Callithrix jacchus: one gene and its partners. The protein of the gene in region 7 interacts with the protein of the main gene of each other region in a pairwise test. Links are inferred from orthologs where the notes say so. Each region holds a gene or a part of one and is shown on either strand. Other genes may lie near its edges. The genes, in order: TCF7L2, FAM9B, BTBD6, MX1, ETS1, PARK7 and DAXX.

The links.
Region 1: the proteins of DAXX (region 7) and TCF7L2 interact in binary tests that used the Homo sapiens proteins (3 or more experiments, as listed by UniProt). The link is inferred for Callithrix jacchus from reciprocal best matches to the Homo sapiens genes DAXX and TCF7L2.
Region 2: the proteins of DAXX (region 7) and FAM9B interact in binary tests that used the Homo sapiens proteins (3 or more experiments, as listed by UniProt). The two-hybrid records come from large-scale screens. The link is inferred for Callithrix jacchus from reciprocal best matches to the Homo sapiens genes DAXX and FAM9B.
Region 3: the proteins of DAXX (region 7) and BTBD6 interact in a two-hybrid assay, tested with the Homo sapiens proteins (2 studies listed by BioGRID and IntAct). The link is inferred for Callithrix jacchus from reciprocal best matches to the Homo sapiens genes DAXX and BTBD6.
Region 4: the proteins of DAXX (region 7) and MX1 interact in a two-hybrid assay, tested with the Homo sapiens proteins (2 studies listed by BioGRID). The link is inferred for Callithrix jacchus from reciprocal best matches to the Homo sapiens genes DAXX and MX1.
Region 5: the proteins of DAXX (region 7) and ETS1 interact in binary tests that used the Homo sapiens proteins (3 or more experiments, as listed by UniProt). The link is inferred for Callithrix jacchus from reciprocal best matches to the Homo sapiens genes DAXX and ETS1.
Region 6: the proteins of DAXX (region 7) and PARK7 interact in binary tests that used the Homo sapiens proteins (3 or more experiments, as listed by UniProt). The link is inferred for Callithrix jacchus from reciprocal best matches to the Homo sapiens genes DAXX and PARK7.

The regions. Positions count from the first base shown.
Region 1 is NC_133513.1:105,892,379-105,896,502, reverse strand, and holds the start of TCF7L2 (transcription factor 7-like 2), read right to left. Parts: upstream 2,801-4,124; 5' UTR 2,288-2,800; coding exon 2,099-2,287; intron 1,837-2,098; coding exon 1,770-1,836; intron 1,567-1,769; coding exon 1,442-1,566; intron 1-1,441. UniProt on the Homo sapiens protein: Participates in the Wnt signaling pathway and modulates MYC expression by binding to its promoter in a sequence-specific manner. Acts as a repressor in the absence of CTNNB1, and as activator in its presence.
Region 2 is NC_133524.1:9,247,216-9,251,307, forward strand, and holds the start of FAM9B (protein FAM9B), read right to left. Parts: upstream 2,801-4,092; 5' UTR 2,697-2,800; intron 1,965-2,696; 5' UTR 1,899-1,964; coding exon 1,808-1,898; intron 1,323-1,807; coding exon 1,202-1,322; intron 1,023-1,201; coding exon 991-1,022; intron 1-990. UniProt on the Homo sapiens protein: May play a role in meiosis.
Region 3 is NC_133509.1:140,102,195-140,106,419, forward strand, and holds BTBD6 (BTB/POZ domain-containing protein 6), read left to right. Parts: upstream 1-1,425; 5' UTR 1,426-1,610; coding exon 1,611-1,984; intron 1,985-2,052; exon of another isoform or gene 2,053-2,060; coding exon 2,061-2,151; intron 2,152-2,254; coding exon 2,255-2,373; intron 2,374-2,510; coding exon 2,511-3,543; 3' UTR 3,544-4,028; downstream 4,029-4,225. UniProt on the Homo sapiens protein: Adapter protein for the cul3 E3 ubiquitin-protein ligase complex. Involved in late neuronal development and muscle formation.
Region 4 is NC_133522.1:47,284,102-47,286,622, reverse strand, and holds part of MX1 (interferon-induced GTP-binding protein Mx1), read right to left. Parts: intron 2,000-2,521; coding exon 1,751-1,999; intron 1-1,750.
Region 5 is NC_133511.1:28,281,487-28,285,510, forward strand, and holds the start of ETS1 (protein C-ets-1), read right to left. Parts: upstream 2,801-4,024; 5' UTR 2,693-2,800; exon of another isoform or gene 2,684-2,692; intron 1-2,683. UniProt on the Homo sapiens protein: Transcription factor. Directly controls the expression of cytokine and chemokine genes in a wide variety of different cellular contexts. May control the differentiation, survival and proliferation of lymphoid cells.
Region 6 is NC_133508.1:45,845,144-45,848,643, reverse strand, and holds part of PARK7 (Parkinson disease protein 7), read right to left. Parts: intron 3,164-3,500; coding exon 3,062-3,163; intron 1-3,061. UniProt on the Homo sapiens protein: Multifunctional protein with controversial molecular function which plays an important role in cell protection against oxidative stress and cell death acting as oxidative stress sensor and redox-sensitive chaperone and protease.
Region 7 is NC_133505.1:41,560,895-41,563,006, forward strand, and holds the end of DAXX (death domain-associated protein 6), read right to left. Parts: coding exon 1,973-2,112; intron 1,818-1,972; coding exon 1,340-1,817; intron 1,162-1,339; coding exon 939-1,161; intron 741-938; coding exon 681-740; 3' UTR 501-680; downstream 1-500. UniProt on the Homo sapiens protein: Transcription corepressor known to repress transcriptional potential of several sumoylated transcription factors. Down-regulates basal and activated transcription.

The DNA of each region.
Region 1 (4,124 bases), on a different chromosome or scaffold from region 7:
GCATTATCTCAAATTGCTAACTAAAGTTACCGAAAAAGAAAAAACAAAAGTCGTGTGTGTAAATAAGGGGTATGGGGACCAAACCGGAGAGGGTGTAAAATGACAATCCCGGGAAGCCAGGCGCAAACGCGTCTTGCGTCCAGAGATTCGTAATCCAGGCTTCTTAGAAGAGAGAGGGAGGGATGAGGAGGAGGGGGTTCAGGGTGAGGGCAGGGGGCAGAGGCCGGTGGGGGAGGGGATGAGCCGTCTTAACAAATGTCAGGGTTGGGCGCGGGACCGACGCTGCAGGAAGCGCCCCCGGAGCCCGGCACCCCGCGCTGCCCTGGGGCCCCCAAAGTTGGCTGGCCGGCGATCGGCGACCCACTCCCTGGAAGGAGAGGCGCCCCGGCCTCCCTCGGCCCCTGCACCTCCTTGAGCCCGCACACCCTGGTCTCTGCCCCCCCCCCGGGGGGGCCCCACGAAGGGCCTACACGGAAGCTGGCGAGCGCAGACCCCGCCATACAACCCAAGGCGCCAAAATTCCCTAGAAATATACAAGTCTGCTCCGAGGAGGCCATCCGGCTGCACACAAACCCAGAACCCGGGCCGCAGGGGCATCCCCGCCCCGCTCTGCCCCGCTGCCCCGCGCGGCCCAGGAGAGCCCGCAGCCAGCGTACGGGGCAGCCGAGCCCGCCACAGCACCCAGGGCGCCCGCGGCCCCGCAGGTTGCCAAAGAAAAGGGCTCCTCAGAGCCCCCAAGTTTGCGGTGGGACCAATCTGGGAAGTGTGACCTTCCAGGGGAAGGAGGAAGGAGGGCCGAGAGTCCGCGATCGCCACTAGAAAGCTAAATACACAGCCGCCCGTAAGAGAAAGCCAAGGCGCCTCTCCAAGGCCCCCGGCTCTGCGCGCTCGCCAGTTCTCAAGTCCAACGCCTGGAGGAAACCCACTCTCTAGCCCGCGCGTCGGGCGCAGCACAGTCACTCAGGGCCCGCAGCGGCAGCCAAGGGGTTAATCGGGGAAAGCCCAAGACACCACAGAAGAGGGAAGGAAGAGAAGGAGAGAGAGGGAGAGAGAGCAAAGAAAGAGCCACACAGTCATCTTCCCAGGGTGAAGAAACAACCACCGCCACCAAAAGGGGAGGGGGAACCAGAGCGCAAAAGAAAAGTTCTTCGGATCCCCCCCACAACAAAGCCCTGCTTGGAAAGAGAGGTCTCCCCAACATCACGAGGCAGCAAACTGAAAGCAAGAACGTGGCGAAGTGCAAACAAATCCAGTCCACAAAAGGCAGAAAAGTTTGGAGAGTTTCGGGCCGCCTGGGCCGCGAGCGGGGGAGGGGAGGGAGGGAGGGGAGGAGGCGGGGAGGGGGAGGCGGGGAGGGGGCAGGGCAGGGGCCGCATGCAGGGCCCGGCGGGCGGCGCGGGCGGGCGGGCAGCGGGCGGGGGCCGGGCGCGGAGGCACTTACGGTTCGGGCGGTGGGCGAGAGCGATCCGTTGGGGAGGTAGGGGCTCGTCAGGTCGGGGATCATGATGAAGGGGTAGCCGGGATACGGTGGCCCCTTAAAGAGCCCTCCATCTTGCCTCTTGGCCGCTAACATGGCGGGGCGGCGAGAGGACGGCGGCGGGCGCGCGGAGCGGGAGAGAGCGAGGAGAAACTTTTTAGAAAGTGCCCCGAGGGGCCGGGCGCCCCGGCCGGACCGGCGCGGGGCCGGACCGAGCGGGGCGCGGGGCCCGGGCGCGCGGGGCGGGCGGCCGGCCCGGGGGGCGGCTGCGGGGCGCGCGGGGCGTACTCACCTTCTTCCAAACTTTCTCGGGATTTATCTCGGAAACTTTCGGAGCGAGGCGGAGGCCGTCTTTCCGCCTTCCCGGAGGGGTGGAGGTGGGGAGGGCGAGGGGCAAACGCCACGCAGAGGGAGGAGAACGGGGAGAAAAAGAATCGGCGAGGTCGGGGTGGGGGGGTAGAAAAAACAGGGTTACAAGTTTTTGCAATGGTGGCACCGCACGCACACGCCGCCCGCCGGGCCCCGCCGCCGCCCCTAGCCCCGATTTCTCCCCTTTCAGCAACATTTGCCAAGCCCAGGAAACAGATAAAAAACCCCACCAGCCCGAGGGGCTTTTCCTACCTCGGAATCGGAGGAGCTGTTTTGATTCGTTTCTGATTCATTGACTAGAGACGATTTGACATCAGCTAAATCCCTCTCTGCCGAGGAGTTTTCCGAGCTCTTCTCCTCCTGTTCGCCCTCGTCTTTGAAGGAAATCAGTTCGTCGTTGGCGCCTAGGTCATCCCCTCCACCGCCGTTCAGCTGCGGCATTTTTTTCACCCACCAGCAGCAATTTTGGAAGAAAAATGAAGGAGGAAGAAAACCAAAAAAAAAAAAAAAACACCCCCAAAAAGTTTTGCCCCCCCCAAAAAAAATTGCAAGAAAAAGACGAGTCCAAGGTGAACTTTTTTTTCTGCTTGGGGGTCTTTTTCTCCTGGGGAGGGGAAAAGAGGGAGGAGGGGAGGGGAAGGGGGGGGAGATCTTCTGCACGCGTGAGTTTGGGTTTCTTTTTTCTCTCGTTCCCAAGGATCCGATCAATGTGCGAAAAAATAATAAATAAAAAAGGGGGGTTAAAAAAAAAACACCAACAACAACAAGAAGTCAGATATAAAGAGCAAAGGGGGGGGAAGCCGAAGATACAGGAGGTGCTCGTGCCGCTCGGATTTGAGTGAGTTGAAGTTAGACTGAGAGCTTTTCAGTTCAAAGGCGGCGCTGATTGACAGATAGAAAAAGGGGGATCGAAATCCGGAGGAACGGAGTAGTCTGGGAGCGGAGATTATTGACAGGGCGAGAGGAACACACTGCCTTAATGAGATGCCGGAGGGCGGGGCCTGCCCGGTGACGTGTGCATAAATAAACAGCCCGGGTGGGCGGGGCGGGGGCGGCTAACAATGATCCTTTCGGGCGCCGGGAGAGGGAGGAGGGAAAGGAGGAGGAGGAGAGGGGCGGGGAAGCAGGGGGGAGACGGAGGGAGGAGTGTGCAGGGGGAGCGGCCTGCGCGGAGTGTGTGCGAGCCCTGGATTCTGGGCGAGGGTGCAGGGACTCGCTCCGGGAGGGGGCGGTTTCAGAAAGACAATGCGGGGTGGGAGAGGAGGAGAAGGGGGTGGCGACCAAGTCAGGAATCCGAGCCGAGGAAGGCGGAAGGAAAGCCCACTTGAGGGGCGGGGATGGGGAGAGGCCCAGAAAAAGTGCAGTTTAGTAATATTAGAAATAAGTCTTAAGAGAGGGGAAAAGGAAGGGTAGAATTGTGAGAAAGTGGTGGCTGGGGGCGGGGTTTGGGGGGGATGCTTGGTGGTTAATTCAACAGTAGAATCAGCCACCCTTGGGCGGCATGCGACAGAGGTGGTCAAAAGAAAAAATCAACCCTCCACTTTCAGAGAGCTTGGAGAAGTGAAGGGGCTGGTCAAAGTTCCTGGTCATCTACAATGAAAGAAACTATTAACCCATGAGGCCCCCTCCTCCCTTTTTTGTTTATTAGTAGTGAATCATTTCATGAATTGTTAAGTCCCACTAGGATAAATATGCCAAAATGACTTTTTATCCAAAAAACAAATACTAAATGTCAGAGACATTAAAAGTATCCTTAAGGAAAAAATATAGGATTCTTTTACATGTAGAGTGGTGTTTTAGTGGTTTTTTGTTTTTGTTTTTTTTTTTTTAACTGACGTTGGAGCTGGTAGGATATGAGCTAGAGTCAAAGTCCTTTTTGAAAACTTCGGAGGTGAAAAGTTTGGGCGTTAACACCGCCAGGGAAAAATAAAACTGAAAGTTCACCGGGCCCCTGGGATCAGTTGGGCTGCAGTTTTTTTCGAAGGGGCTCTGAAATGAAATCCCCGAAAGACTGACCAAATAATCAAGATGTAGGTGGCTGTGGCAGGAAATTGCTAACCAAACCAATGCTAGGAGACCTCCGGGAGAAGATGGGAAACCTGGGGCTTGAGGCAGGTATTTGTTGACTTTTAGTTACTAGAGGAGGAGCAGACTGATTTGCTACAAAATGGGGAGTGGGATTATGTTAAAGAGGAAAGGCCCGGCTCCCAAAACACAGTGTTGCTGGGTGATACAGCAAGAAGATTCATTTTTGTAGATGTTCGGTAAGAGGTAGACT
Region 2 (4,092 bases), on a different chromosome or scaffold from region 7:
AACACACTCAATGTATTAGGCAACTCACAAAACCAGCACTTTGTCACCACCAAGCGAGCAAAGCTTTCCAAATATTCTGCTTATGTGTATTATCGCTATAGAAAAGCTGAAAACTGAATTGAGCTTTTTAAAAATAAGAGTATTGTCTCCATCATCTCTACAGAAATTTTCTCAAACTTTTTTGAAAATACGGTCCTATAACAGTCAGTGCAACTAACATGTAACATGCCTATACAAAATGTATGAGTTTTTGGATCCAATGACATGTTTCCCACTGGGTAGAAAAGTTGTCTTTCCTTTTCTACTACACAGTTTATTGCTGGAATAATAATAGAAAATCATTTTCGAGAATTCAATTTTTTTAAACAAAATCAGAAAGCTGTGACAATAGAATAGCTGAATTAGAAAGATGAAAAACTCCTATTAAACACTCTGAGTACATAGGGACAGGAAGAGGAGAACAACAGACACCTGGGCCTACTTGAGGGTGGCAGGCAGGAGGAGAGTGAGGATGAAAACCACCCAGCAGGTACTATGCTTATAATCCTGGGTGACAAAATAATCTGTACACCAAACCCCTGTGACACGCAATGTATCTAACAAACCTGTACATGTACCCTCAAACCTAAAGTAAAAGATTGAAAAAAAAACTGATATATGACTTAATCTGTGTACACTGAAAGGATTGAATAGAGCTGTTTCTCCTCCAATGTCCTCTAATATCCCCCAACAATTAACTTTCCATGTGTATGAAAGAAAAGCCATCCCTCTCGATTCACCATTGTTAGAAGCATTCTTACATTACACATTAATGATCACAAAGGTAAGAAAAATTTATCAAACAGATTATGGTAAATACTTAAGTTAAATGCTACATATGAGAAGAAGGCATGTAAGACAGTCTGTCATCCACTAATTCACATAACCTACTGTAACAGTTGTACCGTTGAAAACAATTTTCATAAACTACAGATACTTCCTAAGGCATACCTGCAATATCTTCTGGCTTGTTGGTATCAACCCTATAAAAAAAAAAGTTACATCAAAATTTTAACATAGGACTACACAAAATGTCGTGTTTGTTGGGAAAAAATGTCTTATGTGAAATGTTCTGCATAGACTAGAACGGTGATGACATGATCCAAAGCTGACTTTTCCTAAAAGGCTCTATCCGACAGACAACAGTGACTTCACACTTTACCCCTCATATTCATCTGTTTCATCAAGAGGTTCTCTTTCCCCCTGCTCAGCAGTTACATCTTCCTCCTTTGTTTCTGTAAAAGGGTTTCTTTCCTCACGTTCATCAATTACTGGATCCTTTCCTGCATCAAAATTTAAAAGACAAATCCGTTTTTAGAGGAAGACGCTGTTGTGGACATTTTTCATGGAGAAACGTACCGTTTGTGGACTTGTTTTTGGCTGTCTGCCAACTAAAGCTTTAAAGCAGGGCTATACGTGGAATCACCGGCTCCTGACCATTTAATGGAGGCACTTTTGGAAGCCCTTGGGGTTCAAGTCCCAGTAAACGACACACTACAGGTCAGACTCCTTGGACGCCAGGACCTCAGCCATGGAGAAGAGCTACTCTGAGAGCACCTGTAACCCTGCCTGAGGTGGAGCCTCCCGTGGGAAGTCTAAGGCCCTCGAGCCTGCTTTGAAAACCGGGATGTCTTAGCACGTGCACAGTGGACTCCAAAGCCATGAAGAGGCCGGGGACCTTGGGTTGCCAGTGTGATCCCCAGCAGAGATCAGACAGACGTCTCCTTGGGCGTGCGCCTGCTTCCGGGTCCCCTTGGGCTGTGTTTACCTGCATGCTCTTTGTCCTGGGCAGCCATACCTTGAGCTTCCAAGTGGGCCTTGGCAGCCCTCCTGCTGTGCTTTCTGCCCCTGCGTTCCATGGCTGGCCGTCCTGGGAAACTAGAGGCGACCCCGGAACCTGGTGAGCGCAAAGACGACTAAGGAAGCTAAGGAAACGAGGCGTCAGAAAGGAAAGCCATTGGGATCGCGGGTTCAAGATGGGTGGGGTTGGCCCTCCCCGAGTCTCCTGTGGGAGCAGGAGGGAGGGAGAAGATGCCAGTGTCCCCTCCCGTCCTGGCCCGTCCAGCCCGTCCCCGGGGGTGGCTGCAGAGTTCACAGCTGCCTCACACACCTGAACTCCACGGCCTCTGAGGCATCCTACCCGCGCCTTTGGGACAGAGTTTGGCCTTGCCCTTGGATCCCCAAGAGACCCTGAGTGGCTGGGAGGGCGGCGGAGTGACACAGGATCTCCCCAGCCATCTCCAGAGGAATGTCAGGAGCTACACTGCCACTCGCTCTCCTGGATGCACAGGGCACCTCCAGTGACCTGAAGTGTCCTGTTCTGACAGGATGCTGGGCAGGAGAGACCCACTCAGACCGTCCCCCATAACGCCCCCGGCCCGCCTCACTCCCCTCCCCGGCACCGTCAGCCCCTCCCCCTTGCACACCTACAGAAGCACCCAGAACACTCCCTCGTCCTGGGGGGCCACCCAGGTGGCTCCAGCTCCCTCCCTGCTCCAGCCACCCCAGTCTACCCTCAGTGCCTCGCCCTGACCTAGGCCCCAGGTGAGGACCCCAGGACCATTTCCTCACAGGTCAGCTGGCGCCCAGCTCTTCACACCCTGGTTCCCAGACGGTCTTGTGCCCACCTTCCCACCTCCCTGCCTCAAGTGCGTCACCTGAGGGACCCCTGATGTGGCTCCTTCACAGAACCTACAGAAGACACTGGCACTACGAGACTGTCTTAGAAAGAGACCCGGCCTGGCTTCCCACGCTCCTCACTGATTGGTCAGCTCAGTGCGCATGCGCATGCGCATGCCGGTGAAGGACTGTGTGGGGCCAACCCCCTGCTGCCACGCCTCTCCTTCCCCTTAAGGGACCGACCAGGGCTTACTGTTGACTGAAGTTGGGGTGGCCCTTTGGGGCCTCCATCCCCACAATCTTCTGGCTCCTCCTCTTGGGGTGGGATGCAAGGACTCGGAATGGAGGCCAAGTGGACAAGGCCTCCTAGCATCTCGCCCCTGGACTCGTTCCAGCCACCCCTGCCCCTTTGGCTGGAATGGCCATCACCCTATGGGTGGTGCCCAGGCTCCTTTCCATTCCCTGTGTGCTTCCAACATGCCCTGCTGCATCCTTTTTATCAATGGATTGCGCTTTTATGTTTTCTGTTTTTGACACTGAGTCTCGCTCTATTGCCCAGGTTGGAGTGCAGTGGTGCAATCTCGGCTCACTACAACCTCTGCCTCCCGGGTCGAAGCTATCCTTCTGCCTCAACCTCCCGACGAGCTGGGATTACAGGCTCCCAACACCAAGCCCTGCTAATTTTTTAAATTTTCTTTTCTTTTCTTTCTTTTTTTTTTGAGACAGAGTTTTCGCTCGTTACCCAGGCTGGAGTGCAATGGCGCGATCTCGGCTCACCGCAACCTCCGCCTCCTGGGTTCAGGCAATTCTCCTGCCTCAGCCTCCTGAGTAGCTGGGATTACAGGCACGCACCACCATGCCCATCTAATTTTTTGTATTTTTAGTAGAGACGGGGTTTCACCATATTGACCAGGATGGTCTCGATCTCTTGACCTCGTGATCCACCCACCTCGGCCTCCCAAAGCGCTGGGATTACAGGCTTGAGCCACTGCGCCTGGCCTAATTTTCTTATTTTTATTTTTTGGCTGATCTCAAACTCTTGACCTCGGGTGATCCGCCTGCCTATGCCTCTCAAAGTGCTGAGGTTACAGGTGTGAGCCACCCCACCAGGCCCACAACCTTTTTTGTTTCCTCACTACTTTTCTTGCCCACAGGCTTGCCCAGGCTTGCCCACAAACCCTCATGCTCCAGACTTTTCCAGACATATCCCACAACCTTCACCCTCAAATGCCTTAATATCGTTAACTCAGCTTGTTTCCACCTCCAGTCTTCTATAATAGGTCGTAAAGGTTGTTTTGGAGTTGGGAGTGAATAAATACTGCCTAGAGTTGGTAAATCGAGCTACAGAGGTTCATTATGTTATTGAAATTATAAAGGCAGTCATCAGGAAAACTAATCAACAGCCTTTAATGTCTATATAACGAGAAAGAGCAC
Region 3 (4,225 bases), on a different chromosome or scaffold from region 7:
TGCACTCCGGCCGTTTGTACTTCTGTTGCTGACGGACATGTGTGGACTGTCTGCACTTCGGCCGTTTGTACTTCTGTTGCTGACGGACATGTGTGGACTGTCTGCACCCCGGCCGTTTGTACTCTCCTGGAAACTGCCTATGCCGTTACCTTTTTCTATGGAGACAGATGGCTGGGATGGAAACCACAGTAGCCAACCTGTCTTTGCCAGTGAGGTCCCACACTATGAAATCGCAGCTGTGGCCTCCGTGGGTGTGTCCTTGGCAGGCGCACCTACAGTTTCTCTTGGGACCTTCTGGGCCCTCGTGCATGCGCAGCTTTCCAAAGGGCTTAGCTGTGCCAAGTTACGTGCCCACCTGCAGCAGGTGATCTCCGGCAGCTCCTCGTCCCACCAACACTGGCATTACAAGTCCCAAGCTCAGCAGCCTGGGGCCGGGGGCCCCGTTCCCTGGAGAACTGATGACGTGTGCACCCTGGGCCCCTGCAGTGTCTGTGCACGTCCTTCACCGGTTTTTTAATTGGGTCGTCAGCCTTTTTCCTTCCTGACCTGTAGGCTCATCCATCCCAGGGTCCTTTGCTGAAAATACACCGTCTTCTGAAGGGGATTCTCCCAGGGACAATTACTACGACTGCAACCACCGCCGAGCCACAGATGTGTTCACTGTTTAGCCCAGGACCAGGGCGACGGGTGCGCCCACTGACCCGAGCTGCTGGCTGCATCCTGGGGGGTTCCCGGAGACGGAGGTTTTCAGCCTGAAGCCTGGGGTCCAGGAGGTCGCGGGTGCGTCTTCGGGAAGGAACCCTCCTGACAGCCAGGCCTCTGCAGCTTCGTCTGCACCAGCGGCGCGGCGGGGCCAGATGACACCGCCCCTGAAGTTTGGTCTCATCCGCAAAGTCAGCGCCACGCACCTCCCAGGTTTAGCCCCAGGCTGCGAGGCCAGAGGCCCCACGGGGAGCGAGCCACGACTGTGATCCACAAGCACAACCACGGAGGCGCCAGATCCTGACTCGCCCACCCGCACGCTGTGTGACCTTCAGCACGCGACTAACCTCTCTGTGCCCGTTTTCTTGAGGAAAATAGCAGCGCCTGCCCCTGTAAAGCGCTGAGACCAGAATGGGCCGCGCCGTCTGCGAGCGTTTGCTGCTGGCGTCCGTAGGAACGAGGAAGCCCGCCGACCGTCCGACACGCCGCGGCCAGAGGCACAGGCAAGTGGGTCCACCCGCGTTCCTAAAGCATCGCGAGCTGAAGAACCGGCGGGCGCAGGCTCCGCGGGGCTGGGGGCGTCGGGCAGCCTGCCAGGGCCGGGAGCCGCGTTATGCGCGGCAAAGGCGTCAGCGGCTCCGAGGCGGTGGGGTTTGGGGGCGGGACCGCGCGGCAGCGTCGTCGCGCGAGGCACGGCCCTGACGCAGCGTGACGCGTCCTGACGCAGCGTGACGCGCCGGCGCCGCGGCGGGTACGAGCTCGGGCGGGCGGGACGGCGCGGACGGCGCCCCCTGCGGCCGGGCCTGGCCGGGCTGCGCTAGGCTGGGCTCGGGCAGGGTCGCAGGGGCGGGGGTGTGGCAGGGGCGCGGGTGGCAGTTCCGCGGGTCGCAGCGCCGCCGCCGCCGCCCATGCTGCTGCCCCTGGCCTGCCTGCACGGCCGCGTCGCTCAGTGCCTGACCTCCCTGCTTTTGCTTGCAGAGCCGCTCCCGAGGCCCCGGCGCAGCGCGAGAGCGCGGGGCGCGGCGTCCACAGGCCCCGAGGCCGCCCCCGCCGCCCCGCCCGCGAAGATGGCAGCGGAGCTCTACGCGCCCGCCAGCACGACGGCCGCAGACCTCGCCAACAGCAACGCGGGCGCCACCGCGGGCAGGAAAGCCGGGCCGTGCAGCCCGCCCAGCGCCCCCGCGCCCGCGCCGCCGCCGCCCGCGCCCGCGCCGCCCACACTCGGCAACAACCACCCGGAGAGCCCGGGCTGGCGGTGCTGCCGCCCCACGCTGCGCGAGAGGTGAGCGCGCCCCCCCGCGGTCCCCGCGCGCTCCCGCGTGCGCGCGCGTCCCCAGCCCACGCCTCTACCTTTGCAGGAACGCGCTCATGTTCAACAACGAGCTCATGGCCGACGTGCACTTCGTCGTGGGGCTTCCGGGGGCGACCAGGACGGTGCCTGCCCACAAGGTGGGTAGCGGCGGCCCCTCTCGGAACGCGTGCCCCGCCCGCCGTGTGGTTGCCTTGCAGCCTGCAGGACAGCCAGGCTCACGGCGGCGCTTTCTCCTCCCAGTACGTCCTGGCTGTTGGCAGCTCGGTCTTCTATGCCATGTTCTACGGGGACCTGGCGGAAGTCAAATCTGAAATTCACATTCCAGACGTGGAGCCTGCAGCTTTTCTGACCCTATTAAAGTAAGTCCACTGTGTGCTGGGGAACGAGGGGTGGGTCCTTTCTAGGCAGCCTCCCGTGGCTTCGGAGGGGGACCCTGCAGGAGCTGATGGGCTCCTCACCTATGCCCAGCCCCTGACCCAGGCCCTGCTTCGCCTAGGTACATGTACAGTGATGAGATTGATCTGGAAGCCGACACAGTGCTGGCTACGCTGTACGCTGCTAAGAAGTACATTGTCCCAGCATTGGCAAAAGCCTGCGTCAACTTTCTGGAGACAAGTCTGGAAGCCAAGAACGCCTGCGTCCTGCTGTCCCAGAGCCGGCTGTTTGAGGAGCCCGAGCTGACGCAGCGCTGCTGGGAGGTCATCGACGCACAGGCTGAGATGGCCCTGCGGTCCGAAGGCTTCTGTGAGATAGACCGGCAGACACTGGAGATCATCATCACTCGGGAGGCCCTCAACACCAAAGAGGCGGTGGTCTTCGAGGCTGTCCTGAACTGGGCCGAGGCGGAGTGCAAGAGGCAGGGGCTGCCAGTCACCCCACGAAACAAGAGGCATGTTTTGGGACGAGCCCTCTATCTGGTACGAATTCCAACGATGACCCTAGAGGAGTTTGCCAACGGCGCTGCCCAGTCAGACATCCTGACTCTGGAGGAGACCCACAGCATCTTCCTGTGGTACACCGCCACCAACAAGCCCCGCCTGGACTTCCCCCTGACCAAAAGGAAGGGCCTGGCCCCGCAGAGGTGCCACCGATTCCAGTCTTCTGCCTACCGCAGCAACCAGTGGCGGTACCGCGGGCGCTGTGACAGCATCCAGTTCGCAGTGGACAGAAGGGTATTTATTGCGGGGCTGGGCCTGTATGGGTCCAGCTCTGGGAAGGCTGAGTACAGTGTGAAGATTGAGCTCAAGCGGCTTGGGGTGGTTCTGGCTCAGAACCTGACCAAGTTCATGTCAGACGGATCCAGTAACACTTTCCCAGTCTGGTTTGAACACCCAGTCCAAGTGGAACAAGACACCTTCTACACGGCCAGTGCCGTCCTGGACGGCAGCGAGCTCAGCTACTTTGGGCAGGAGGGGATGACGGAAGTGCAGTGTGGAAAGGTGGCCTTCCAGTTCCAGTGCTCCTCCGACAGCACCAATGGGACGGGGGTCCAGGGTGGGCAGATCCCTGAGCTCATCTTCTACGCCTGAGGAGCCCCGGGGGGCCGCAGCAGGTCGGAGAGAGAGTAGAGGGAATGTCAGATGCTAACTGCTGCCCGACACCATGCAAGCCACACTTCACCTTGTGTGTCTTTGGCATGCAGTCAGCTGAAGCTTGATTCTGGGAAGTAGACGCCTTTCCACACAGCCAGAGCCCAGGGAGTCCTGTCTTTGGCATGTAGCCAGCTGAACCTTGATTGTGGGAAGTGGATGCCTTTTCCACACAGCCAGAGCTGGGGGAATTGGGGTCTCAGGCATCTCTGGTGTGCTGGGGTGCATGTCTCAGGTGGAGGAAGATTTAGGGCACAAGGCAGGCCCCAAGATCCCATGCCACCTGCTTTGAGGGGCTGGATGTTCCTGCCACCGTCTTGGATTCTAAGTGGCTCCAAGCTTAACTTGAGACCTTCCCTTTAAATCTAAAATTGGCTAAGTCACTTAAAATAGTGGACTTGTGTAATAAAGGTTGTCTAAAATAACCATGTGTCAGTAATGACTACGGTAATTGTAGAGGGGGTGTTCTCTTTCTCAACAACAGAACAGCTCCTGCCCATCCCCAGGAGAAAACCTTTCATGCCGAACATGCTATATGGTTAGAAGCAAAGTGTGCCCCAGCAAAGCCCATCCGTCCCCCTGGGTCGCTGGCGCCTGTGGGCCACCACGGGAAACTAAAGGT
Region 4 (2,521 bases), on a different chromosome or scaffold from region 7:
GTACTTCTGGTAAACAAACTTCTCCACCTGTTCTAATCAGTAGCTAACATTTGTTCTCCCGGTCCCCAGCTCCATCCTGCCTCATCCTGGTCACCTGCTCCGGTCACCTGCTTTGACCTAGGTCATCCCTGGCTACCTGTTCTGACCCGCCCATAACAGTCCCTCCCACCGAAATACCCACCCTGCCCCTCCAGCTTGGACCCCTGCTCTCTTTAAAATAGCCCGTCCGGATTAGTCTAGCTTGTGCAGACTAACCCTAGCCAATAGGGGAAGGACACAGCAGTAGGGGCGACCCCCGTCAGGCATAAGCAGCCCTCCCTCCTTGTCCAAGCGTGTGGCCACCGCTGCTCCCTCCACGAGCCACACCTTCTATAGAAGGAAACTGCCTTGCCGAGAGGACTTATGTTCAAGTGCTATTTCTTTTGTGGCATTAACATTTTACTTATAACAATAGCATCACAAGACAAATAGCAGACCCTAAAGGAAATAAAAATATTTTACCTAAAAATATGTCTTTTGGACATATTTTCAAATGGCTGTTACAGGACCAACAGATTGAAATGGCCCTGCCATGTGCTGTTGGGGGAAGTCTGCACCTGTAGAGACTCTGCACGAATGCAGTCAGACCTCTCCCCTGCTAGAGCGTCCCTGAAACTAGGTGAGATTCAGTGAGAGCCTGCTGCCTCTAAGGCCTGAGAAGAAAGATCTCCCATCCATTCTCTCTGAAGGCTGCTACCTGGAGTCGTCAACTATGTGACTTTGGCCTCTAAAACTGCCCTTAACTCAGGTATTTCTTTCTACTGATGTCAAGTCTGTAGACAAAGCTGAGCTCTTTCAACCAGTGGCCAGAAAAGTTTCTGACCCACCGATGGCTGGGAAGCTCCCCTCGTTCAAGGTGTCCTGCCTCTTTACGGAGGACACTCACCCCTCCCTTGTATTGATTTATGATTTTACCTACAATTCCTGCCTCCCTGAAGTGTATACAACCAAACTGCATCCTGCCAGCCTCAGGCACACTTCTTCAGGACCTCTTGAGACTGTTCTTGGAGCCACAGTCCCCCATATTTGGTTCAGAATAAAACTCTTGAAACTATTTTAGCAGAGGTTGGTTTCCCATTAGCAATCCATCAATATCATCCACACTCATCTCCTGGAACATGCATTCGAATCTATGAGGAGACATCATTTTGCAGAGAAAGCTGAGGCTCAGACCCAGATGTCAGTGGCCCTAAGCCACCACCTGTCTGTCTGAGGTTGAACTACTTCTATGGAGGTGATATGGTTTGTCTCTGTGTCCCCACCCAAATCTCATCTTGAATTGCACTCCCATAATGCCCACATGTTGTGAGAGGAACCCCATGGGCGGTAATTGGATTATGGGGGCAGTTTCTCCCATACCGTTCTTGTGGCAGTGAATAAGTCTCATAAGATCTGGTGGTCTGATAAGGGGAAACACATTTCGCTTGGCTCTCATTCTCTCTCTTGCCACTGCCGCCATGTGAAAAGCGCCTTTTGCCTCTGCCACAGTGGTGAGGCCTCCTCAGCCACATGGAAGTGTGAGTCCGTTAAACCTCTTTTTTTGTAAATTGCCCAGTCTCGGGTATGTCTTTATCAGCAGTGTGAAAATGGACTAATACAGGAGGCTAATAAGAAGGGAACGACAGAGCTGACCATGCCATCTACAGAGACAGCAAGACTGAAGAAAAGGCATGGAATGGAAGCTGCCATCTTGAGCCCCGAGGAGGCGTACCTGGTGATAGGCCATCAGGTGCTGAAAGATCTCCTCCATGGAAGACTCTGATGAGGAGGGCTCGACAACCATGGCAAAGCAGGATTTCTTGGACCTCTTTTCTTCTTCCAGCTCCTTCTCTCTGACCTTCTGCAATGCACTCCTGTACACCTGGTCCTGGCAGTAGACAATCTGCTCCATCTGGAATTGGAGGCGAATCTGCTTCTCACCTTCTCTCTCTTGTTCTGCTCTAATGTCTTCGATTTTGGACTATGGAAAAGAAAGACACAGCTCAGTTTCCCCCAGACACAAATTCCCACGTCACAGGAAAGCAGGTAAGAAGTCTGTAAATACCAGACTACTCACCTGATATTTATTTATCCACTGCCCAGTGGTAGCCTTCTGGGCCATGCCCTGGTGTATCTAAGGTGGGTTTCTAGCCCTGGCTGAGGGTCAGAACTTCTGGGGAAGCTTGAGTCACAGATGGGCCGGACCCCCATCCTGGGGCCTGGGGACTTGCATGAGCTCTGTTTTCAGGCCCCATAACTCAGCTTCTTTCTTTTCTCTTTTAGGGGCTTTTATACCTGATGGCAAGGATTGTCATAACCATCAGAAAATCCACAGGAATGAGCAGGAGGGCCAGATTTAAGTCAGACAAATTCTGTTTTATGTTCCTGGGGTTTAGAGAAACTGGGTGACAAAACCCGGGAGGAGAAACTTCACCCTTGGACCCTCCAGGCCCTGATGAGGGCTGCGGTGCACAGTGGCAGGTGCATCCTAAACATCCTTCTC
Region 5 (4,024 bases), on a different chromosome or scaffold from region 7:
ACAAGAGTGGAGGGCCCACCTCAAAACTTCATCGTAGATTAAATGAACCTGCAAAACACCCAGCAAGGGTGTTGGAACATACTAAGTGTTCAGTAAACATTAAGGCTGAGTATCCTTCCTTAGATGAAGTGAAGAAAAACGAGTATGATAACCAGAGAATGATGTATATTAAAAAGGGTATTGTGATAAGCTATATTTTCAGTATAGCAGGGATAAAGGAGATGAGAAAACAAAAAGTAAGTTATGTCCTCACATCTAAATTTCCCTAGGATTGAAGAAACTTACAAGATTTTCCTCAAATGCCACTAAATTGCTGCATACCACACTAATTGTGCTCAAATGCTAAATACTTTAGAATTTCATAATGAAGAAAAAAACGAAGGACAGAAAGGAAAGGAGGAGGGAAGAGGGAAAGAACAGAATGAGGGAAGAGGGAGAGAAAAGAATGAAGGAAGAGAGAGAAAGAAGGAAAAAGGAAAGAATGAAAGAAGGAAGGGAGGAAGAAAGGAAGGAAAGAAGGAAGGGAGAGAGGGAGGGAGGGAGGGAGGGAGGTTCCAGCTCCTGGGATGTAATCATTCCCTTCTGCTGTTTGATGTGAACAGTTGGAAATTTTGAAATGGTAATTAGAAAATGATAGTCGCTGTGGAAAACAGATCCATTCACCAATAAAATAAAATCACAAGGTATGTCAGAACCTTAGTTATCGGTAAGCAATTCACCAGTGCAATCAAAGAGAGAAATGTGTTGGTTATTTGTTTGCACAGTGTTTTGCCTTCTGTCTCACCCTCCCCTAGGTGACAAGACCTGCACCCACACACCCAGTTTGTTGTATTATTACTTCCGACAGTCCTTGACCTCATTGGCACTATGATTTTTCATAGCCCTATGCTGTTTACTTCTATTCTCTCATCTTTGTAAACCTGGCGGGGCGGAAATGATTGTTTACCTTTTAGAGATGAAGAGAATAAGTTACAGTCACATTCAATCACTGTTCTCAGTTACAAAGCTCATCACTGACAGAATCCAAGTGCACAGCCACTTTCCCTACTCCAACCCAGCGCTGGTTCAAGTTCTGACCCTACTCGCCTTTAAACTCCATTATCATCTGGGATCAGCCACTGGTTCAAGTCCATGCTCTGGCTGGTTCTCCAGTACCACAGACTGCCAGATACCAAAGGATTCCATCCTTTACCAGCTTCCCCCAGGCTCTGCATCAGGACATCCTTTCACAGCCAGCAACTAGCACCTCCACTTAAGAAGCCTGCGAGGCAACGATGCCCACTCCATAATCAGGCTTTCAGCTTGGCTTCCCACATCCTCAGCAGCGGAACCAGGACGGAAGAGGCTGCATGGCTGCCTGAACTGTTTGTTATTTCACTACTGAGTTGGCAAGGATGGAGTAGTTGATTTACAATTAGAAGCAGCATGCTTCTTCAAATATTAATATTAATAACTGCACTGCTGAACACATGAAAAGACCTTTTCATCTTCAAAGCACTTTGCAGACATTAACGCATTAGCTCTCCCTTCCCTCCATTCAGGAACAACAGGTGAGCGAGACTCTCAACAGCAGCAGTGGCCACCCTGCAGCCCTTGTGCACAGGCCACAGCTGTGCACGAGGGTTTTCTCTTCAGATTAAAAAAAAAGAGGCCACAGAATCCAAAACCACAACTGATGAAAGAGTTATAGTATCGGTAATTTTACAAATCAAATGGAGCTGCCAGTTATCATTTTAGATTCGGTATTTCCTGCTGTTTAACAAATATCTCTTTTCTCAGTTTCATGGCAGTGGTCTAACGTAGGAAGAAAAATGGCCTTGAGATTGAAAACTTATCCAAAAGGTAATAAGGAAAACCTGCAATAGAATGCATTGATTTCAGTGACCCAGTACCTTTTAAGTTTGCCCGAAGAAAACGCTACTTTAAAAGGTCGCAACAGAGACCTTTAATAGTGGATGAGAAGTCACATACAAAGTGTCACAGCCAGATAAAATCATCGAATGGAGAGGAATTGCCATCGACATCTCCTGCCACGAAGTCCAGCTCTACAGTGGGGAAAAGAAACACCTCCCTGACTTTGAGACAAGCCCTGGCCACACACACACCATGTTTCAACAACAGGCTTAAGAACTTGTAGATCCTTGGACAACTGCAAATCAGTCCCAAGACAGATTAAAAACACCAAACAGGTTAGTTTTGCTTGCAAGATTCAAACCGGTAGCAATTTCCTCTCTATTAAAAGCAATTCATTAAGCTGCTAGACAGAAAAAAAAAAAAAAAGTAACACAATAGGCTTACTAGGAGTGAAAGAGGAAAAAAAAGAAATTTTCATATTCAACTTCAGCTTTATTTCTTTGGAAGTGCTCCAATTTGCAAAAAAAAATTCAGGGTTTCTGACAAGTAGTCTATGGGTATCTAAAACATGCATGGTTTTGCTTTAAGAAGCAGGGAACATTTTGAAAAACATAGTCTTGCTTTCAGACTATTCTGACGAGGTTAGGAAGTATTTTTGAAAATTGTTAGACAGTTAAATGAGAATATAGAAAGATGAGAAAAGAGAAAGCAAAAACACACTTGTATCCGGAATGTCCCTATCAACTTGCTCCTTAATTCCGCAGAAATTTTTTTTTAAACAGGAAAAGGAAAATAGACTGAAAAGTTTTAGGCAGAAACTCACACACACCTCACTTACTACTTTGCCGGAGAGCAGATCCTGAGTGAGCTTCCCTCAAAGTCTGTGGTCTCTTTCCAACTACCTGCGGGAATGCTCTGCTCAGTAGCTTAGGAGGATGCAAAGACCATAATGTTTCTAATAGAGCTGCCTCCTTAAATTGGGGGGTGTGGTCAAGCCAGGGAAAGCTGGAAAAAAAAGACATTCTTCCTCTTGCCCCTGGCACCAGGACAGCAGCCACTAGCACAAGCTCAGCGGTCTAGGTGGAAAGCAGTGTTTATTGGCAGTAGCGGCACCAGATCACACCTTGTTTTTTATTCTTCAAATTATGTTTCAACTGACTATAACTCAGCCTTGGGGAATAACAGGGAGGGAGATGAGCAAAAGGGAACTAGCTCAGTGGGATAACATTGCTTATCATCTCATCATTTACTGATGGATTTACTCTCTACTGAATATGTAAATATTCATGCTTCCAGTTCCTTGACTCTCTCAATGGAGCTTCCACTAACCTAGGCAAGAGCTCAGGTAAGGGAAAGGGATTGCTTTAGAAACAGAGCTGGAGACTATCAGCAAACAGGACGTCCATCACCTAGTCACCTGCTCAGGCTTCCTGTTTCTCACTAATAACTTGATGTGAAATGCAATATTTTCTAAAAGAAAGAAAATAATTTTGTGCAAGAGAGCTGACTGGATAGGGACTTGGGATTTCTGAAAAGTAAAGCTGAAATCCCCTTTTTATGTAAGTACGGTTTTAGGCAATCTCTAAAATAAGGTTACCTTTAGTAGCCCTGACTCTTTGTCTGTGGTGTAGGAATAAAAGGGCAGAAGTGTTCATACATTTCTCATTTAGGGGAAATGTAAACAATATGAAAATTTTATATTTGTCCTAAGTGAAAATACACAGTATCTTATATTCACATATTCAGGTCTATGGTAGGAATGTTACCATAATCTCATTTCTATGAATGGAGTTATTACAAAAAAAATTTTTTTTGGAAAGTCAGTATTTGACTGCTTGATCTAAGACTTGTATCCTAAGAGGTTCCATTTTCTTTGAGTAGGAGGTGGGAGTTAAAATTTGTTGTAGTTGGCTTCTTTCCCTTCTTAGTGAAGATACAAACTGAAAGTCCATGAAAATCTAATAACTCATTTAGAGCAACATCACCATCAGCCTTCATTGTATAAAGTTGGCAATGCAGTTAAAACAGCATGGTAGGCCGGGCGCGGTGGTTCACGCCTGTAATCCCAGCACTTTGGAAGGCCGAGGCGGATGGATCACGAGGTAAAGAGATCGAGACCATCCTGGTCAACATGGTGAAACCCCGTCTCTACTAAAAATACAAAAAATTA
Region 6 (3,500 bases), on a different chromosome or scaffold from region 7:
AAAAAATTAATACAAAAAACTTTATGAAGTCAAAAAAAATTTTTTTGTGCCTTTTACTTAAAAAGTTACATTTTAACTTTAAAAAATGTAACGGGGGAGAATTTTAGTATCCCCCCTCAAAAAAATTCCTAGAAATCTAATCAATTTCAAACTTCCTGAAATTACAAAATGGAAATTTTGTATTGTACTTTAGGATGTTAAAAAGAGGTTTAAAAAAATCTAGTCATTAAACAAATTACAAAATAAAAATGTATTATGTATTTAGTGCAATCTATACTTTAAAAATTATTTAGAGACAGGGCCTCATTGTCACCAAGGCTAGAGTGCAGTGGTGCAATATAGCTCACTACAGCCTTGAACTCCTGCGCTCAAGCAACTCTCCTACTTTTGCCTCCCCTGTAGCTAGGACTACAGGCATGCATCACCACGGCCAGCTCATTTTTCTATTTTTGTAGAGACAGGGTCTTGCTATGTTGTCAGGCTAGTCTTTGAAACTCCTGGGCTCAAGTAATCCTCCCACCTCAGCCTCCCAAAGTGCTAGGATTTCAGGGGTAAACCACTGTGGCTGGCTCAGAATCACTTTTAAGACCATAAACATCCTACTATTGATGGAAAACCAAGCAAAGCTCAAAACTCAAAAGAAAATATGTAAAGTATAGAATTTGTTTGACTCCTTTTAGAATCTGCACTGAAAAATAAAAGCATGCAAAAGGTAACCACTTCCTCAAAAAACTCAGTAAACAGAACTACCATGTGGTCCAGCAATCCCACTATTGAGCATGTATCCAATGGAAAAGAGATCAGCCTACTGAAGAGACACTGGCACGCCCTTTTCACTGCAGCAATAGTCACACTAGCCAAGATATTAAATCAACCAAGTTCCAACAACAGATGAATGCATAAAGAAAACGTGGCATTTATACACAATGGAATACTATTCAGCCATAAAAAAGGAATGAAATCTTGTCATTTGTGGCTATAAGAATGGAACTAGAGGACATTCTATTAAGTGAAAGAAGCCAGGAACAGCAAATTAAACACTGCATGTTCTCACTCACATGTGAAAGCTAAAAAAAATTGACCACATAGAAGTAAAAAGTAGGACAGAGGATATTAGAGGCTGGGGAGGATAGAAGAAAGTGGGGATAGGGAGAGATTTGTTAAAAGATACAAAATTATAGCTAGATAAGAGGAATAAGTTTCGGTGTTCTATGCCCCTGTAGGATGACTATAGTTAACAATCATATATAGTTTCAAGTAGCAGGAGAATACTGAACATTCCCAACACAAGGAAATGATAAATGTTTGAGATGACGGATGTGCTAATCACTCTGATCTGATCACTATACATATGTATGGAAACATCATGTATCCCATGAATATATACACTTACTATCTATTGATTGAAAATAAAGGTAACCACTGTTTTAAAATACCCAGACACCACATGACAAAAACACAGAGATGAAAAAAAATTATTATTAGTTTTGAGACAGGGTCTCGCTCTGTCACCCAGGCTGAAGTGCAATGGCACACTGAAGTGCAGTAGTTCACTGCAGTCCTCAAATTCCTGCGCTCAAGCAGTTGTCTGGGCTCAAGTCATCCTCTTGCCTCAGCCTCTTGAGTAGCTAGAACTACAGGCATGCATCCCCATGCCTGGCTTTTAAAATGTTGCCCAGGCTGGTCTCAAAACTCCTGGCCTCAAGTGATCTTCCCACTTTGGCCTCCTAAAGTGCTGGGATCACAGGTGAGCCACTGCACTTGGCCTAGAATATTTACTTCTGCTTGTCATTCCTTTTTTTTTTTTTTGAGACGGAATTTCGCTCTTGTTGCCTTGGCTGGAGTGCAGTGGCATGATCTCGGCTCACCACGACCTCCTCCTCCTGGGTTCAAGTGATTATCCTGCCTCAAACTTCAAAGTAGCTGGGATTACAGGCACCTACTACCACGCCCAGCTAATTTTGTATTTTTAGTCGAGACAGGGTTTCTCCATGTTGGTCAGGCTGGTCTCGAACTCCTGACCTCAGGTCATCTGCCCGCCTCAGCCTCCCAAAGTGCTGGGATTACAGGTGTAAGCCACTGCAGCCGGCCTGCTTGTCATTTTTAATTTATTTCAACAAATTATATCTAAATACCAACAGTCTAATTTTCTACAATCCAGTAATGAAAAATCTGAACTTATTAAAAAGGATTAAACTTTTTCCTATGTATCTGAGGACATTTCAGCACACGGAACCACACTCTAGGTTCCTCAGCAGTGCACAACCAGCCATTTGTGAGCCAATTCTACCTCCTTTCTCACCATGACTCTGCTCCCAGAGGGCACAGTCCACACTCCTGTCACCCTGAGCCCACGACAGAGTGTGCAAAAGCACCTGTGGGGGAGCATGTTTTGAGGAAAGGGATGCTAGCTTCGAAAAGTGTCCACCGTCCTTAAAGGCGAGAACCGTAATTCTAAAGATATTGAAAAAGGAACACAACTAAAGTAGAACTCTAAGCGTAGCTTTAGAAAAAAGAATAATGGCCAGGCATGGCACATGCCTGTAGTCCCACCTACTTGGGGGATTGAGGTGGGAGGACTGCCTGAACCTGGGAGGTTGAGGCTGCAGTGAGCTGTGACTGTACCACTGGACTCCAGCCTAGGGGATGGAGCAGGACCCTGACTCTAAAATAGAAACAAACAAACAAACAAACAGGAAATGTGGCAATTGATTTACATCAGGTAAAAATGTGCAATAGGAGGCAAGGACACCTGTATAAGCCGGAAGAATCCTGATGGGAAGACAATGCAGCCATCAAGCTAAGCATCAACCCACCCATCTGGCCACACACCCACCCAGCCACCCACTTAGTACATTCAGTATCAAGCGATTGCCACATTCTATGGATACAGAATAGAAAGACAAAGTCCTCACCCTCTTAATTTGTCAGGGGAAGACATTCAAGCAAAATAATTTTCTAAAATGAGTCTGTGCTGACAATAGTCTTAGATACAGTAAAAAAACATTTCAAGAAACAAAGAAGCCGTATGAAGGAGTAACTCCATGTATGGATTACAAACCTCTTTTTTTGCATCTTCAAGACTGGCATCAGGACAAATCATGACATCACGGCTACACTGTACTGGGTCTTTTCCAGCCAGACCTGCAACGGTGACCTTTATCTACAAGAAATATATTATCATGATATTTAAGAACACTGAAACATAAAGAGTAACACTGTCTTCAAAAAAAAAAAAAAAAATAGGAGGAGATGGGGCCTCACCCTGTCACCTGGGCTAGAGGGCAGTGACATAATCATAGCTCACCGCAGCCTCCAGCTCCTGGGCTCAAATGATCCTCCTGCTTTAGCCTCCCAAGTAGCTGGGGTTACAGACATGAGCCATCACACCTGGCTAGAGTAACATTTACACAGCTGCCCTGTTTGAAAGTAACATGGCAGGAAATATTGCACCAAAACTGTATCAAATTTAAACTAATACGTTGGCTAAATATATTTAA
Region 7 (2,112 bases):
ATCGCCTCCTTCCTAGCTCCTGACATTTCCCCTGAAGCCCCGCCCCCCGTCTCCGGGCCTGGATTGGCCGAATAACCTTGAGTCGGTCTCTCATTGGCTTTTTCACTCCAACTGCAAGAACTGAAAAAGTAAAGTGCGTTAAGGCGGCTGAAGCACTTTAAAAAAAAAAAGTACAGCCTGAAAAACATGGCGAAACCCCGTATCTACAAAAACTACAAACGACAAAAATTAGCAAAGTGTGGTGGCGCGTGCCTGTAGTCCCAGCTACTGGGGAGGCTGAGGCATTATCACTTGAGACCGGGAAGTCCAGGCTGCAGTGAGCTGTGATCACACCACTGCACTCTGGCCTGGGTGATAAGATGAGACACAAAAAAAGAAAGAAAAAAAAAGACCAGGTTAGAAAGGACAGATCAGGACTACCCCGGGAACATCGGGCAAACCATGAGCAAGGAAAGGGACAGCTAATGCCAATCCATGACCACAGAAGGAAAAGACAGTGATACAATAAGAAAAGAAGTTTATTGTTTATTAATGTTTCTGTGTAAAACTTAAGTTTTTTTTTTTTAAAAGAAACACCAACAGGGGATTAGCTCAGTCCATCCTTTGCTCAGTCATCTGCTTCCCACCATCCTCCAAATGCTATCCCAAAACATTTTGGAGGCAGGGAGAAGGGGAGGCAGCTAATCAGAGTCTGAAAGCACGATGATCTCCTCTGGATCACACTGTGTGGCCACACTCGTCTGCAGGGAAGTGAGAGACAGAGTCAGAGAGATATGGAGTACAGGGGAAAAGAAACAGACAGGAGGATTTAGAGGATAAAACGTAGGTGGGAAAAAGCGAGACAGAGAATGTGGAGGGTGAAATATTCAGACAGAGCAGCTGAAACAGACAATGAAAGAGAACAAATTATCAGAGGAAACCCAGCCTCCCCTTCTTACCTTGTAAGTACCAGGCTGGGGAGGTTGTGACTGGGGGGTTTGGGACAGCCGGGCTGGAGAAGGGACGCAGAGGGAGCTGGTCACAAGGCCATGGCTGGGAGAGTCTACCCTTGTGGAGGAATCAGCAACCGGGGCCAAGGAAGCCAAGGGGGAAGGTGGGCTGGGCAGGGTACATATCTTTTTCCCATTCTTCTCATGCACTGACCTTCGCCTTTCCACATAGCTAGGAACAGAAACATAAATATGTGGAGGGGTACAGGAAGACTGAGGCTGGAGGGAAACAGTCCAGTCTCTCCCAACAGACTCAGTTCCCCCATATTCCTCTCCGAAAGTCCCCTGCAATCCCTCCTTTCAGGGAACTCTTCCTCCTCCTTCCCTCTTCCTCCTCCTGTTGTTATTACCTGTTTCCTAATGGCCCTGATCCTGTTTGCTTCTTCTCCTTCCGAGATTTTTTGCAGGGGGGGCCAGAATCTCCCCAGTTGTGAGGAGAGACGCCTCCATTGAAGGAAGTAGAAGAGACCATGCCTGCCCCATTCTCTAAAACAGTGGTGAGGGAGTCCTCTGACTGCTTCCTGGAAGAGGAAATGTCCGTCTCCACAGAGGAAGGGGTGGTATCCAGGGGCAAAGCTTCAATCTCTAGCTCAAAGAGCTGAGATATAGGGCTTTCTTCCTCCAGGGTCAACTCCTCAGGCCGTTCTCCATTGCTTTCAGCATCTATGCTGGAGGGGGCCAGGGGTTCTTCTGACAGTAATGATGGTGACACTGTGAGTCCTTCATTTTGCTGCTCCCCTGAAGACCTGCTGATCTCTTTGCCAGGTTCCAGGTTCTTTTCAGTAGAGATCTGTGGTGAAGACACAGGGCTCCTGTCTCCACCTTTATCTGGAAAAGAAGAAAAGGAGAGGGGGTAGCTTGAGAATGAGGGGAAAAAATACTGCTGAGAGGACACTAGGAGGAGGAAGGAAAAGGTCTCAAACAGGTGGCTTATGCCTAAGAAAACAGAAATGACAGGTGTGGATAATGTTTCCTTGACTTACCTGCTTCTTCCTCTTCCTCTTCTTCCTCCTCTTCATCGTCCTCCTGACCATCCTGCATCTGTTCCAGATCCTCCTCCTCTTCAGAATCTGTGGCCTCCTCCTCTTCCTCCTCCTCCTCCTCCTCCTCCTCCTCTTCCTCA